Linked DNA regions of Styela clava. The protein of the gene in region 2 interacts with the protein of the main gene of each other region in a pairwise test. Links are inferred from orthologs where the notes say so. Each region holds a gene or a part of one and is shown on either strand. Other genes may lie near its edges.

Evidence for each region.
Region 1: the proteins of DNA topoisomerase 2-binding protein 1-like (region 2) and protein CIP2A homolog interact in a two-hybrid assay, tested with the Homo sapiens proteins (2 studies listed by BioGRID). The link is inferred for Styela clava from reciprocal best matches to the Homo sapiens genes TOPBP1 and CIP2A.

Annotation. Positions count from the first base shown.
Region 1 is NC_135253.1:5,664,626-5,673,005, forward strand, and holds the start of protein CIP2A homolog, read right to left. Parts: upstream 3,001-8,380; 5' UTR 2,827-3,000; coding exon 1-2,826.
Region 2 is NC_135257.1:5,646,002-5,653,753, forward strand, and holds the start of DNA topoisomerase 2-binding protein 1-like, read right to left. Parts: upstream 3,564-7,752; 5' UTR 3,483-3,563; coding exon 3,408-3,482; intron 3,159-3,407; coding exon 3,044-3,158; intron 2,217-3,043; coding exon 2,032-2,216; intron 1,532-2,031; coding exon 1,350-1,531; intron 509-1,349; coding exon 315-508; intron 1-314. UniProt on the Homo sapiens protein: Scaffold protein that acts as a key protein-protein adapter in DNA replication and DNA repair. Composed of multiple BRCT domains, which specifically recognize and bind phosphorylated proteins, bringing proteins together into functional combinations.

The DNA.
Region 1 (8,380 bases), on a different chromosome or scaffold from region 2:
GAAAGTCTGCTTCTGTTCTGTTAACTTCTCATGAAGTTTCTTAATTTCATCATCCTTGGTTGAAATTTCTTGAGTAAGAGTTTCTTTTTCAGAATATAAAGAAACAACCTTTTTCTCTTGTGTATCATTTCTCTGATGAAGTCTTTTAATTTCATTTCCACGTTCTTTCAATTGATGTTCCAATTGTTGTTTAGTTCGATCAAGAGAAGAAAGCTTTATCTTTTGACTTTTTGCTTCCTCATCTAAGTTTTGTATATTCGACTTCAAATTCTTGATTAAAACTTCTTGCTCTGATTTCTCATCAAGAAGTTGTCTTGCAACCTTCTCACTCTCCATCACAAGACCTTCAAGTTCGTGAATTTGCATTTGTTTGTCCCCTGCATCTTTCAGAAGTTTTAACCTCTCTTCTTCCAACTCTTCAAGTCTATGTACCCCTTCATTCATCTGTTGTTTCAATTTTTCATTGTGTTTTTGGAACATATCATGCATTTCTTTTAATGTGTCATACTCTTGGGAAAGAGCAGCCAGATTTCTTTCCTGCACTTCAATTCTATGTTTTTTATCGTTAAACGCCGCTTGCAAGCTATCGTATTGTTCTGCTATTTTTTGCAAATTTTTGTTTTCTTCCACAGTAGATTCGAGCTCTTTTTCAACATCTTTCTGATTCGATTCCACTCTTTGAATCTCCAAAAGTAGGTGTTCACATTTAATCTCAGATTCTTGCAGCATATGAGCCAATCTCCTTGATTCTTCTTCAGATTGTATTCGTTGACATCTATTTTGAGCAATAACCCGGTCAGCCTGGGCAAGTGCTAGAGCTTTAGCATCAAGTAGATCCTGCAAGTGGCTTTCTTTAGTTTGGAGAGATGATATCTTCTGTTCATACATTTCCACTATCTGTGATGTCCTTCCAGACAGTTTTTTATCAACCTGCAATTTACCCTGCATTTTGTTAATTAGCGAATCAAGATTTTCTTTATCCTCACAAGAAGAACTACTTGAAACAGAAGCGACGCTTATGTTGTCAAGAACATTGGTGCGATGTACATCATTCCAGATAGCATCAGGTCGATCAAAATTAGACTGCACAGTCTTTAAATCCTTTGATGCATCATGTACTGAAATCTTGTGCATTCTAATACCACTGTTAAAATTTTCTCTTTTATTATTGACTTCAGCCATCCTTTCACCGAGTAAAACTGAAGGAAAGTCAGGTAAAGAAGAAGCTTCTTGATGAAGGCGCAAAGCACATTGAACTTTACTACTTTTACCACTGGATAAAGCAGCAACAAGAAATGGCACCATTCTTATTTCTTGTAAAGTTTTATACATTACTTTTTCCAATCCTGGCACAACATGCTTCACCTTGAGCATTAACTCGAGTGTGGTTAAAACAACATCAACTCCGATTTCACTCCAATCAGGTTGTGTTGTAACAATTCCAGTAAGATTTTGAGTAAGTTGATGTTCAAGTACAGATTCTAAAACATCACAATTCACATTCTTGCCAACTTTTGATAGTAAATCATCATCTTCAGATGATAGGCAAAGCAAAATTTGCAAACTTTTTAAAATTTTAAGAAGACAGAACTTGAGCTGGGAAGGATCATTATGAAATGGTTGTGATAAGTGGATATTTAACGTAGCAAATAGATAGTTTGTCCACTCATTCATTGGTTCATTTGCAGATTCTACAACTTCCTCACACATTTCTTTCACCAAATCAAGAGCGAGAAGTGATGGTGAGTTTTCCAATGATGTTGATAGATCGTGTTTTTCAGCCCTAGCAACGTTTAACAATATTTTCCAGCAACGCATATCATCCTTTAAAATTCGCTGGCATATGCTTGATCGAACCAAACCTATGTGACAAAAAGCACAAATAACCTGAAGAATCTTTGATGAAGATCGCGGTACCTCACTGAGATGATCAAACAACTTAGTAGAGCAGCTATTTTCTTCTTCGTACATAGCAAGTTGCTGAGCTATTTCTCCATGTTTCAAAAGTTCCGTACATAAATCAGCCGCTACTGTTAATGCATCTGAATTCACATATCCACTCAAAGTGGAAAAAATTAATTTCATTGCCTTAAACCAATTCTGAGATCTGTATAGTTTTTTGGCAATATCATCTCCCCAAAATATACACGTTAGAATCGAAAGTGACAAAATACTTTGTTGAGATACTCCATGCTTCAATAACAACATGAAATTCTTTGTTCTTTTTGAATTCATAAGAGCTTTGGTTTGAATCTGTATTGACATATTGTTCACAATTAGATTGTTTAAAACCCTCAAGCATGGAAGGCCAGTATCACTTTCTCCTTTTTCAATTTCTTGTAAAATATATGTTAATAATTGATTCAGATGACTTATACCAGAAGATATAGGTCTGGCATATGTAACTTTTTCCAGAAGCAATAGAGCAGAGGGCATTATGTGACTACAATGTTCTAATTGACAGTGTTGTACAATATACAAACACAGCACAGAAGCCAAGCTGAATGATTCTTGGAGATGAGAGCATACATCTGTGACTTTTGAAATTGTATTGAGTAGCTCAACTATTTTACTTAATAAATGGGAATCCGTCGTAGAATCTGATATCAACTTTACCATTGATGCGATACATTCGGAACCAAGAACACTTCTTGAATTGAAAAGCTGGTGTGATGAATGCATGTTTAATGCCCCGAGCAAAACCTCAGTATGGCGAAGTACATGAGACAGATTACTTTCTGATTTATGATATTGATATTGTGTGATTCCCATTGCCAATGACTTGACATTTGATGCAAGGTCGACATCCATTCCTCGTCCATCCATGGCCCTATTTTCTATGATGAATACTAGTTGTCTAGATGCAAAACGGTGATGGTTTATATTTGTGAGATATTTTCAACAATATAATTAATAACTACCAAAACATGACCAGTAGATAAATAGGGTCTAGTACAGTTCAGTATACAACTATAATTATATTTTACTTTGATTGCATTTGGGTAATTAGAAATGTCCAAAACGAATCGGATATATTCAAAATTAGTTATATTGCTATCCCTTGTACTAATATTTTCATGAAGATCACAGATCAACAAATCTTATTGAAAAACAATAAGTAATATTTATGAGCTTGTTAACTTTTATTGTCTGGAGAAAATTTTTGAATTTTGACTATTATTGAATATTTTGTCAATAATTATTTTTTGCATGCAATATAGGCTACAGCAATAACGGTAAGTGATTTCCAATCATGACTCTGGCTAAAGAAACGTTATTCTTATTGCTTCATCATTATTATTATATCATGACTGTTTTTTCCTGGTTGACAAATAATAAAACTTTCCCAGTTTAACTGCTTAAATACAGAAATACCGGTACCGGTACGGTGCCGTGACTGACTAACGATAAGTTACTGGTTCCGCCGTACTAACGTAGTTATAACTACCATGACCTAAATGACAACGATTTTGAGGTTTTTAAGTACATCAGAAAATCTCAATGAAGAGCTGATAAAGAAATATCATAAGACCGTCGCACAAAAAGATACGACTCAACCACAATCTTCATCATTTCCCGAGACTTCTTGTTTCGATTTTCAAATTCACCGGGCTGTGTTTCCTCAACTGAGTTGCCAGATTTTCTTAAAACAAAATACGACCGCGCATTGTTTAATCAATGTTTTAGATGTAAACTTTCCAATTTCATATCATGTTGTGTAATATACATATTTTGTTTTTGCAATAAACACAATTTTTTCTTCAGTATCGTATCATACTGGAATCCCACGAAAGTGACTGATAAGCTCATGAGCGTCACCTCGCATCCCTGTATGTTGATGTTTTCACTTGTTTTTCTCGGCGCAACGCATGGTACGTAGGCGTTTACTCCACTGCTCGGTAGGTAGTAGGTACACATGGGGGGACGGACTAAAAGTAGGCACTTGCAAATTAGGCACTTTTTCAGGCACTTTGGAAAAAAAGTAAAAAGGGCGTAATACCTTTTAAAAACATAATTAATTAGTTAAAAATGGTCAAATTAAATGTTGAAAACGCAAATTGCAACGGGCAAACTCAATAACAATATTTAAAACGTAGTATTAAAGGCAGTCGCACGCGCTTGGTCACCACATATGCTAGGCACATATTTAGGCACTTCGAAAAAAAAGAAAATGGCAATTATCACTAATAAAAGACAGAGACATAAACATATTACCCACACTGATTAGCCTGGGTAAACATCCAATAGATGCACTTGAGTCTAGTACTGGAATTTAGAAATAATAAATTGTTACCGGTAGGCACTTATTTAGGCACTTCGGAAAAGAGGTGAAATGGACGTAGTAACTCCTAAAAAGGTAATGAATTAGTTCAAAATATTTAAATTAAATGTTGAACGCGAAAATTGCAACAGTTAAATCCAATAACGATTTTTAAAACGTAGTAATAAAAGGAGACACACGCGCTCTGTCACCACGTATGCTAGGCACATATTTGGGCACTTCGAAAAAAAAAGAAAATGGCAATTATCACTAATAAAAGACAGAGAAATAAAAATATTACCCACACTGATTAGCCTGGGTAAATATCCAATAGATGCACTTGAGTCTAGTACTGGAATTTAGAAATAATAAATTGTTACCGGTAGGCACTTTTTAGGCACTTATTTAGGCACATCGAAAAAAAGTTGAAATGGGCGTAATAACTTTTAAAATGATAATTAATTAGTTGAAAATTGTCAAATTAAATATTGAACACGCAAATTGCAATGGGTGAACCGAATAACAATATTAAAAACGTAGTATTAAAAGGAGTCACACGCGCTCGGTCACCACATATGCTAGGCACATATTTAGGCACTTCGAAAAAAGAAGAAAATCGGAATTATCACCAATAGAAGACAGAGAAATAAAAATATTACCCACACTGATTAGCCTGGGCAAATATCCAATAGATGCACTCGAGTCTAGTACTGGAATTTAGAAATAATAAATTGTTACCGATAGGCACTTATTTAGGCACATCGAAAAAAAGTTGAAATGGACGTAGTAACTCCTAGAAAGATAATGAATTAGTTCAAAATATTTAAATCAAATGTTGAACGCGAAAATTGCAACAGTTAAACCCAATAATGATTTTTAAAACTTAGTACTAAGGGGAGACGCACGCGCTCTGTCACCACATATGCTAGGCACATCGAAAAAAAAATGGGAATAATCACCAATAAAAAAAAATAAAATAAAAATATTAGTCAAAATGATTAGCCTGGAACTGGGTGAATATCCAATAGATGCACTTGAGTCTAGTAGTGGTATTTGAGAATAATAAATTGTTACCGGTAGACACCTTTTACCGTGTTTCCCCGAAATTAAGACAGTGTCTTATTTCAAATTTCTTCCTAAAATTACCACTAGGGCTTTTTTTCGAGGGATGTCTTATATTTTAATTTATCAAAAACAAAATTACAAAGTAAAGAATTAATATATTTTCAAATATGCAGAATATAAAAACCGATATCATTGGGTTTACTTGTTGCAATTTGCATATTAATTTTTTAATTTGAATATTTTAAACTAATTCATTATCATTTTAAAAGTTATTACGCCCATTTTACGCATTTTTAGAAGTGTCTAAACAAGTGACTAAAAAGTGCCTAACGGTAACAATTTATTATTCTCAAATATCACTACTAGACTCAAGTGCATTCATCGGATATTCAAATAGGCTAATAATTTTGACTAATATTTTCATTTTCTGTATTTTTATTCATGATAATTACCATTTTCTTTATATTTCGAAGTGTCTAAATATGTGCCTAGCATATGTGGTGACAGAGCGCGTGCGTCTCCCTTTAATACTATGTTTTAAAAATCGTTATTAGGTTTACCTGTTGCAATTTCCGCGTTCAACATTCAATTTAAATAGTTTGAACTAATTCATTATCTTTTTAGGAGTTACTACGTCCATTTCACCTTTTTTTCGAAGTGCCCATCGGTAACAATTTATTATTCCTGAATTCCAGTACTAGACTCAAGTGCATCTATTGGATATTTGCCCAGGCTAATCAGTGTGGGTAATATGTTTATTTCTCTGTCTTTTATTAGTGATAATTGCCATTTTCTTTATTTTTCGAAGTGCCTAAATATGTGCCTAGCATACGTGGTGACAGAGCGCGTGCGTCTCCCTTCAATACTACGTTTTAAAATCGTTATTGGGTTTAACTGTTGCAATTTTCGCGTTCAACATTTAATTTAAATATTTTGAACTAATTCATTATCTTTCTAGGAGTTACTACGTCCATTTCACCTTTTTTTCGGAGTGCCTAAATAAGTGCCTACCGGTATCAATTTATTATTCCTAAATTCCAGTACTAGACTCAAGTGCATCTATTGGATATTTACCCTGGCTAATCAGTGTGGGTAAAATTTTTGATACTCTGTCTTTTATTGGTGATAATTCCGATTTTCTTCTTTTTTTAAAGTGCCTAAATATGTGCCTAGCATATGTGGTGACCGAGCGCGTGTGACTCCTTTTAATACTACGTTTTAAATATTGTTATTCGGTTCACCCATTGCAATTTGCGTGCTATACATTTAATTTGACAATTTTTAACTAATTAATTATCTTTTTAAAAGCTATTACGTCCATTTCACCTTTTTTTTCGATGTGCCTAGATAAGTGCCTACCGGTAACAATTTATTATTTCTATATTCCAGTACTAGACTCAAGTGCATCTGTTGGATATTTACCCAGGCTAATCAGTGTGGGTGATATTTTTATTTCCCTGTCTTTTAATAGTGATAATTGCCAGTTTCTTTATTTTTCGAAGTGCCTAAATATGTGCCTAGCATATGTGGTGACAGAGCGCGTGCGTCTCCCTTTAGTACTACGTTTTAAAAATCATTACAGTATTGGGTTTAACTGTTGCAATTTTCGCGTTCAACATTTAATTTAAATATTTTGAACTAATTCATTATCTTTCTAGGAGTTACTACGTCCATTTCACCTTTTTTTCGATGTGCCTAAATAAGTGCCTAAAAAAGTGCCTACCGGTAACAATTTATTATTTCTAAACTCCAGTACTGGACTCAAGTGCATCTCTTAGATATTTACTCAGGCTAATCAGTGTGGGTAATATTTTTATTTCTCTTTCTTTTATTAGTGAATATGCCATTTTATTTATTTTTCGAAGTGCCTAGCTTATGTGGTGACCAAGCGCGTGCGACTGCCTTTAATACTGCGTTTTAAATATTGCTATTGAGTTTGCCCGTTGCAATTTGCGTTTTCAACATTTAATTTGACCATATTTAACTAATTAATTATGTTATTACAAGGTATTACGCCCTTTTTACTTTTTTCCAAAGTGCCTAAATGAGTGCCTAAAAAAGTGCCTAATTTGCAAGTGCCTACTTTTAGTCCGTCCCGTACACATGTATGTTTCCGTTTGGATAGCACGTACAATAAAACAATTTTTTACTTTTATTCTACATAATATTATATTACTAAATATACTAAAATTCGATGAATTGTATGACGACCTAATCAACACCTTACAGCCTTAAACACCGGTCTTACTACTTACTGAATACAGCGCGAAACACCGCAAAGAGCGCAAAACAGCGCGAAACAGCGCAAAACAGAGGGAAACAGCGCAAAACAGTGTGGAAACAGCGCGAAAGACCGCAAAACAGAGGGAAACAGCGCGAAAGAGCGCAAAACAGAGGGAAACAGTGTAAAGCAGAAAAAAATTTTGCAATGAGTTCGGGGCACCTTGTTTTGAGTTGGAGTACCACGGCAGCAAATTAAAAACACAAACCAACGTATGTAGCTAGTAATGCTGTAATGGCAGGTCTGCCCCTGCTGGTGACACATTTTGGGTACCATAATTCAGAACATTTTCCATATGGATATGGTTGGCTTTAGGGTTAGGGTTAGGTGAAAAGCGACCTCCAGAAGTATGTGCACCAAGATGGCGCACAACCTAAAAATAGTATGTGTGTGTGTGTGTGTGTGTAGCGGATTCAGGTTGTGCGACATATTGCTGCACATACTTCTGGAGTACCAAAAAGGTAGATAAAATTTCGCATGATGACCTATAATCCGGTACATAACCTTGTAAATATGCCGGAAATAGCGCCATAAAACCATGGCGAGAGGCGCCGTGGTTCTTTCGTGGCAGGAGGTGGTAATGACCAAAGCGTATATATAATACTGGAGGTGGTAATGACTGCGTCTCCTGTTTTGCGCTGTTTCCCTCTGTTTTGCGCTGGTTTCCTTCTGTTTCGCGCTGTTTTCCTCTCTTTTGCGCTGTTTCGCGCTATTTTGCGCTGTTTTGCGCTCTTTGCGGTGTTTCACGCTGTATTCAGTAAGTAGTAAGACCC
Region 2 (7,752 bases):
AAATAGTACCGGTATATACAGCCTTTTTAATCCCAAGACTGATCTAGAATAAAAAAACAGCATCATTCTTTGAACATTTGTGCTTGTTGATATAGAGAATTCGTAATCAATAAAGAATAAATGTATTATACATTCAGGTGAATATATTATTCCAATTTTCCGAACTAAGATAATTTCCAATTTTCCAAACTAAAATAGGTAATTAAAGTATATATTCTGTGATGAAAAAATGCATTGTCCTGGGTTATACTCAACAAATCACACCGAAATAAAGTGCACATATGATTTTGTATATAAATGAAGAATAATTCAACCTTCTGGCTTATTGACAATAAGATGAGTTGTATAGTTCAACTTCATTGCTCCACTATAATCTCCACCAAACTTCGTGACTAATTTTTGAACTCTGGTTTTCTCAGTTGTTCCAAAACCTGTCATACAAACTTTACATCCAAGAAATATCGGGCACAAAAATTCTTCCCATTTGCCATCTTTAGCACAAATATACCTAAAACAAAAAATATTTATTAAGCTTAAATAAAAATAATTAAATCAGATGAAACTGGACAAATCCAAATATTACAATATTAGAATCTTATATCAAGTCAAAAATAATACTTTAAAAAATCAAATACTGGCATTCCTATGTAGTGATAAAAGTCAAAGCTTGGTTAAAGTTAAAATCTTGGGTTCAAGTCCTGTGCGCACCACCTTACCCAAGGTGTCACAAATTGAGCTGACAATGAGGAATTAGAAATATTCCGGTTCCGCCAAACTATAGAACCTCCTTACATAGCTTGGGTGATCGTTCAGAGCCTAGGTCAGAGTAAAAAGGTGAATAAACACATTGTGTGAAAAGGATGTTACTCTTCATTCCAAATTTTATCATGTACATTGGACGTATTCATGGACCTATTTTGTAAATAAATACTATAAAAAAAGTGTTCATCTCAAATTTTGATTCTTGGATAAGAACTTATAAATATATACAGTGTTTCCCCGAAACTAAAACAGGGTTGTATTTCAATTTTCTTCTGAAAATAACACTAGGGCTTCTTTTGGAAAGATGTTTTTATTTTCATTTATCAAAAACAAAATTATAAAGTAGATATTTACAAGATTTTCAAATATACAAAATATGATAAGACTAGGTCAAAAAAATTTCGCGCTATCCACTAAGTCTTATTTAAAAAGGGAGAGATTATCTTAAAATATTTTCTAAAATCCAGGTTAGGTCTTATTTTCAGGCGAGGTCTAATTATCGGGGAAACACGGTATCATCAATTTCATATAAATTATACAGACATCACAGGCGTATATTTGTTATCACTGATCGAATTCTGTCATACCTAGACATTCCATGCTTCCATAAATGATATATCCATTCCTTTGTCATAATTTTAATATTTATTGAAGCTGCAGTAAAATATTTGACAGAACCGACTTCACCAACAACAAGATGAGTGACATCACAATGCAATGGTCGTGACACTTTTCCACCCATAAGTTCAACTAGATGCACAAGTTCTATCTACACAAAAGCATTATAAAGGCAATCACTTTTTATGTAAGGAATGTACTGGTGATATTAGTGATAAATACTGAAACTTGATTTGATTTATATCAGAAAATTCAAATAAAAGTGATAATAATAAATTAAAATCAAAGTGGATCACTAACAAAATACCAAAAAATGTAAATAAAGCAGAGGCAAAGCTCCACAAATAATGACCTATTATGCTTATAGCAGATTCTCTTTGCATACTGACTTCTGTAATTTATAGCAATATGATTAGTATATAAATAACTAAGAAGATTCCTTTGAAGGCATAATGATTAAATATTACAATGAATTATCACTAATAAAATCGATGGTAAAAAATCTGTCATTATAGCATTATGTATACAATTTTTTTTTTCTCAAATGTAAATTTAAAAACAACCCCTTTCCCCAGTAAATTGGTCCGAATATAGATGTTTATATTTAAAAGTTAACGATAGTATCTTCACTACAAATAATAATACACATACTCTTTCTTCATTTTGAATATTTGAGAAACAAATTGTTGTATTAAGCAATGTGAGAGTATAAAGAGGATATTTCAAATCATCTTGAAGTCTGATTCCATGTTTTAGAACAGTCAATGCACATTGTGGACCAAGTACAGGATAGTTAAGATTCACAAGATGGTCAATAACATCTCCAACTTCAGGACCTGGAAAATATTCAGTTATTTAAAGGATTCTTTTCTTCTTGAGAGAGAGAAGAAAGATAATAATTATGGCTTGATCATATAATGAACCAAAGTCACTGTGCCCTCAATAAGTCTGTTCAATTTAAGGAGCAAATTAATTATTTGTTTATCAATTACTGAAATAAATGAACTACATAAGACTGTTATATAACATAAGTCAGTAGATCACAGTTTCCCGATTTTTAAGATTGGCCAACATTTGATTCAATGAAATAAAAACTCTATTTGTTTCTAAAACGAGGATGTCTTGCACAACGGCAAATGCGTTTTTGCTAAAATCTTCCGATCGAATGCTCTGTTAAAATTTTTTTCTGAGGATGGTGCTATTTCTAGACTGCGCTTCCTATTAGAATATTGCACAGTACCGGTGTGTCGATATGTTGCGATATGGAGACTTAAACCGTCTCGTAAAGGTCGGGTTTGCCTTCACTGTTATAATTGTTGTCTTTTAATTGGATTTTCTGGAATCAGTAAACTGTGACGTACTGTTCTTTACATGTATCTAGGAATCATAAGTATAAGTTAATTTTGACTTCATAATCAGCATAATAAACAAAACAATTGATGAAAACAAACAAATAAAAACTGATTACAGAATCAGCAGAGCAACTAAATCTTACTGCCTCAAATTTTGAAAATTCCAAATTTAAATGAGAAGGTAGAACACGTAAAACGAAATCACATTAAAAAATCTGGAAATAACATAGTCTACATATTTTTCCAAACAGTCACAGGTAAAACAAAAAATATTCTTCTATTTTAAAATACAGACACAGGCTTAGGCCTACCTTCAATTGGATCAGCAACATACACAATTTCTTCCTTGCTGTCCTTAGAATCTTCCAAGTTATTCACTTCTTCTACAGTCACCCATGTACACTTAAGTTTATTCTCAGAAGCAAGCTGTGAAAAGTCATATTTCTGTATTTATTGAGCTGCTCTCGCATTCAATTGAGAATTATAATTTATATTTCTGTATTTTTCAGAAAAAACCCTATTCCTGCAATACGTCAGCATTATCCAGACTACTGAACTATAAACATATTTAGGCCGTGTTTCTGTGTTTTCGGGTTTCCTATCCCCGGGATAAATACCGTTATGTGAATAATATCCTGTCCAAAATGCAAAAATGCGGTACCGATATTGACTTACTTTGTGAGCTGCTTCAACATTCTCTCTCCCTTCTTCAGTGAATGCAAGAAATCGGACTTCATTCCGAGAAGACATGAATACGGCATTAAAAGAACTAGCCTAGTTGCAGAGTTGTGTTAAACTGCTCAGAAATTTCGCGCCGGGAACCAAACATCCCCTTTCTGCTCAATGGCGTCCCTGGTGACAGTATTTAACCGGACATTAAAAAAGAATTTAAGACCTTTTCTTGACCTTTGACACCAGAAAAATTCTTCCTATTCTTAACCATTGCAAAATTTGCGGGGCTCATTTTAGGAGTAGTTCCGCGAGTTGGCCCCTGTAAATGGGGTATTTGTTTAAAACCCTTATTATATATAATTCATCGCGTACAATGAACAGTTTTTTAAAAGTACCAGTAAGAAATTTTAGACTAGTCTATCACAGCTATTTCTACACCAATTCTTCATTACTGCGAATAAATTAAAACTTTTAAAAATACATAGTGATCGTTGGATTATCCGATTTACATTTAAATTTCCAAAACACAATTGAAAACTAACGAATATAGTTCGAAAACGCGAAAACGAGGTGATGTTCACAACCACGTCTGAAAATCTGTCTGAGTGAGAAAAGTGTCTGGGCGGATGTAAAAAGCGGGCATTGTTACGTTACTTGTTGCATCTTGCTGATTGGCCAATGTCACGAAGTAAACAAGAAAGTCGATGCTCGGGGAAAGGTCCATGATTATACAAAAAACGACTAATCAAATATTATTGTTATTGTTTAAAAAATACTCTTAAAGATATAGCCTATGTGATCATAGAAACAAACCAAAAATGTATTACCAAATTACTCTTTCACCAACTACGGTAGAAATCACATGCCCCCGCTAAAAAGGCTATGTACACCAAAGCCTATATATACAATATGTCTCCGCTAAAATAGCTATGTACACCCTAAATGGCTATGTTTCCTGTGTTTATACTAAAATGGCTATATCCTTACTAAATTCACGATTTCGCTATGTTCCTTCCAAAATGGCTATATCCCTACCAAAGTAGCGATTTCCGCTATGTCCTTGCTAAAATGGCTATGTCCGCCAAATCCTTATTAATATGGCTATGTCCTTACTAAAATGATCCCGCTATGATTCTAGTAAAATGGACTGAAATGAGTATGTCCCTACAAAAATGCCGATGCCCACTATGTCCCAACTAAAGTGGCAATGGCCCTACTTAAATGGCTATATCCATTTCAAAAAAGCTATGTCACTTCCAAAATGGCCATGTCTCTGTGAAAATGGCTATGTTCGTACTGAAATTGCTATGTCCTCACAAAGAAGGTATGTCCATTCTAAAATGGTTATGTCTCTACCAAAATGGCGATGCTTGCTATGTCTGTTATGTTACTACAAAATTGGCTACGTCAACTACTAATTTGTTAGGTATCTATTACAATTTTCAAAGCGACTTTGTGTAAATGAGAAAGTTGGCTGAAATAACTGTTAAGTTTTGCACTCGATGCAATTAAAATAAGCTTACAGTTTTTTTCAATAACAAGAACTATGGATTGAAAAACTGTAATATGATTTCCAACGAACTGTGACTCATTCCAGACACATTTCCTTCTTGAGCACATTTCCTTTCTGCATACTGGACAAGTGGTCATTTTTCCAATAGCACATCTTGATCTCTATTTTGGGTTTGATGTTGATTCATGGATTCAATATTGAATTTTGGGTGATCGTCAGGTCTGGTGTATTCACACAGGCCTCGTTCAGATTTAGTTTTATTTTATCATTTTTTTTCATGGAATCATTATTGAAAATCGACAGATCCTCTGTTGCATACTCCCAGGCGTCGTTCAGTTTTAGTAATCACTGCGTGATTTCCATGTGAACCCGTGGTTGTTAATATTGTTCTGTCTTAGATCATCTAGTTTGAATCTCGGACATTTATAATGTTGATATACGACGGCTCTTCTCACATGTTTTTTCTCGAAGTGTCTTTTGCAATGCGCATAGCCAACACATACAGTTTTGCATAACAAGCAGTAAAGATGAATTGTTTCAACACTACAATCAGTTTCGTTGCAGGTTCGGAATCGAATAATATAAAGCCAAATAATGTAAGTCATCCACGCTTACAGTTTGAGTCAGCCCAATGTCATTGGTCAGCCAGACCTTGGTCAGACCGTAAATATATACCACTACTAGTGGCGGCGCGTGGTCATTTTGACAACCGGGGCAAGCTACTGCTGGACCAAGTCACCCCCATCTACGGGGACAGGATGAGCGCTGTAAGTTCTCCCATCATTTTATGAGTATAAAAACCATTCCATCGGTAACAACCAATCGGCAAAAGCGACAATTTTTAACGATAAGAAAGTGTCTTCAAAACCGGTCCAAATCAAGGGATCAATAAATATAGACATAGTTTATTTTGAAACCTCTTTCAAACGGAAAGGCAATATTTACCCAGATAAATACAATGACATATTAACAGAAACTTCGGGAAAGCAGACAAAACCTAAAATAAGGTTTAAAACGTTACTATGAAGAAAGGAAAGGTAATGCAAAGATAAGAACATGCGTCGCTCACTCATAGATATATATGCTGCTAGACTTCTACTGCTTGAACATATATGCAACACGCCGCGGTTTCTTGGAAGCAAAATGCTCAATAACGCGCTGATTAAAGTCATGCATCCCAGAAATAACGTCTCTGTGAATGGATAAAACAGCCAAGGAATTTAATCTATCTTGCTTCATTGTGTTTCTGAGATACGTTTTAATACGCTTCAGCGTGCTGAATGTTCGCTCTGCGTCGGCGGAAGAAATAGGCGTCGTCAAAATGATGTCCAGAAATTTTGCAGACGCCGCAAAGGTAGTTACTAGAGTGTTATCTATGAGGAACCCATAGAGCGCGCAAGTTGATGTGATGTTCAAAAAAGTTTGATTGGTGTATATACATCGCAATTCATTTTCCAATTTACCCACGTTTATCATGGGGTAAAATTTGGAGACAGTAGCCAACAAATGGATGGGAAATTGACGTGCAAATTTTGAAAAATTTTTGGGGTTCATCAAAGAGAACGCGGCAAGGTGTTCAGTGCGCAGACGATCGCCTATTTGATTCACCAGAATGTCACAGCATTCCTTTGCAGACACAATCAAACGCTGCGTTGTTTGCCCGCGGCGTAAAGAAGCACTCCATGTGTCGTCGTATTTTATTGTTTCTCGGATACCAGATACAGCATCGCAGAAGTCTGAAATACACGACTGCACAGACGCTCCATCTGTTAGCCTTGGCTGCAATGCGCCGTATAATACATCCACGTGATAGAATATTGTGAAGAAAAAAGCGAGAAAAAATGAAAACTCACCATCTTCTAGCAGACGCTTTAGACCTGCCGCCTCCCTCACAGAGCGTTCGTCCCAAACCGGAGAGCTCTGAATGCCATTGAAACACTCAATGAGCTCAGACCTAATTTCGGACACGCCCTGCACCACGCGTGATTGGAAGTTCCAACGTGTTGGTGCACAAGCTGGGAGACGGCGGCTACATATCTGGCGAAGGAGGTCAGAGCGCTTCGGCGAAACGGAAAAAAATGAAGAAAACCCCGAAACATTTGCAAAAAATATACGGACGAGAGGGGTATCAAGACACATATTTTTAATAACGAGGTTAAAATGGGGTGCATAACAATGTAAAAAATGCGCATGAGGAAAATCTTCTTTTATATAAACTTGAACACCATGTTTCGACCCACTCATGACTGCCGCGCCGTCATAAGTTTGAGCTATCAATTTTGACTTCGCGTTGTAAGGCTGTAACACTTCTTTCAGTACAGCCGATATCCCGCAAGCCGTGCGATCAACGATTGGTACAAAGCTGTGAAATCTCTCGGTAGGTTTACCATCTTTCACAAACCGAAAAATCACAGCCAGTTGGGAAACGCACGTGATGTCAGTTGTCTCGTCAGACTGAATCGAAAGGAACTGGCAATTCTCAATTTCCAGAGCCAAATGTTGTAAATAAATTTTATACATTGAGTCGAGCAAATCATTTTGGATATCCTTAGATGTCCCTTTCGAAACAGTTGCAGCATCAAGATGATCTCTCATTATAGGCTTACCATACGTCCCGGTTTAGCCGGGACAGTCCCGGTTTTGACAAGCTGTCCCGGCGTCCCGGCCGGTTGAATCAAATGTCCCGGTTTGTCAGCACGGCTTTCATGGGTAAAAAAATTATGTTCATTATTATCACAATTTTCTTTTTAACGGTGACAGCCCATTTACCACTGTTTTGCGACACACTTTGCTAGTTCGGAGAGAGAAATCGCTCTATTGTTATGTCACAATTGG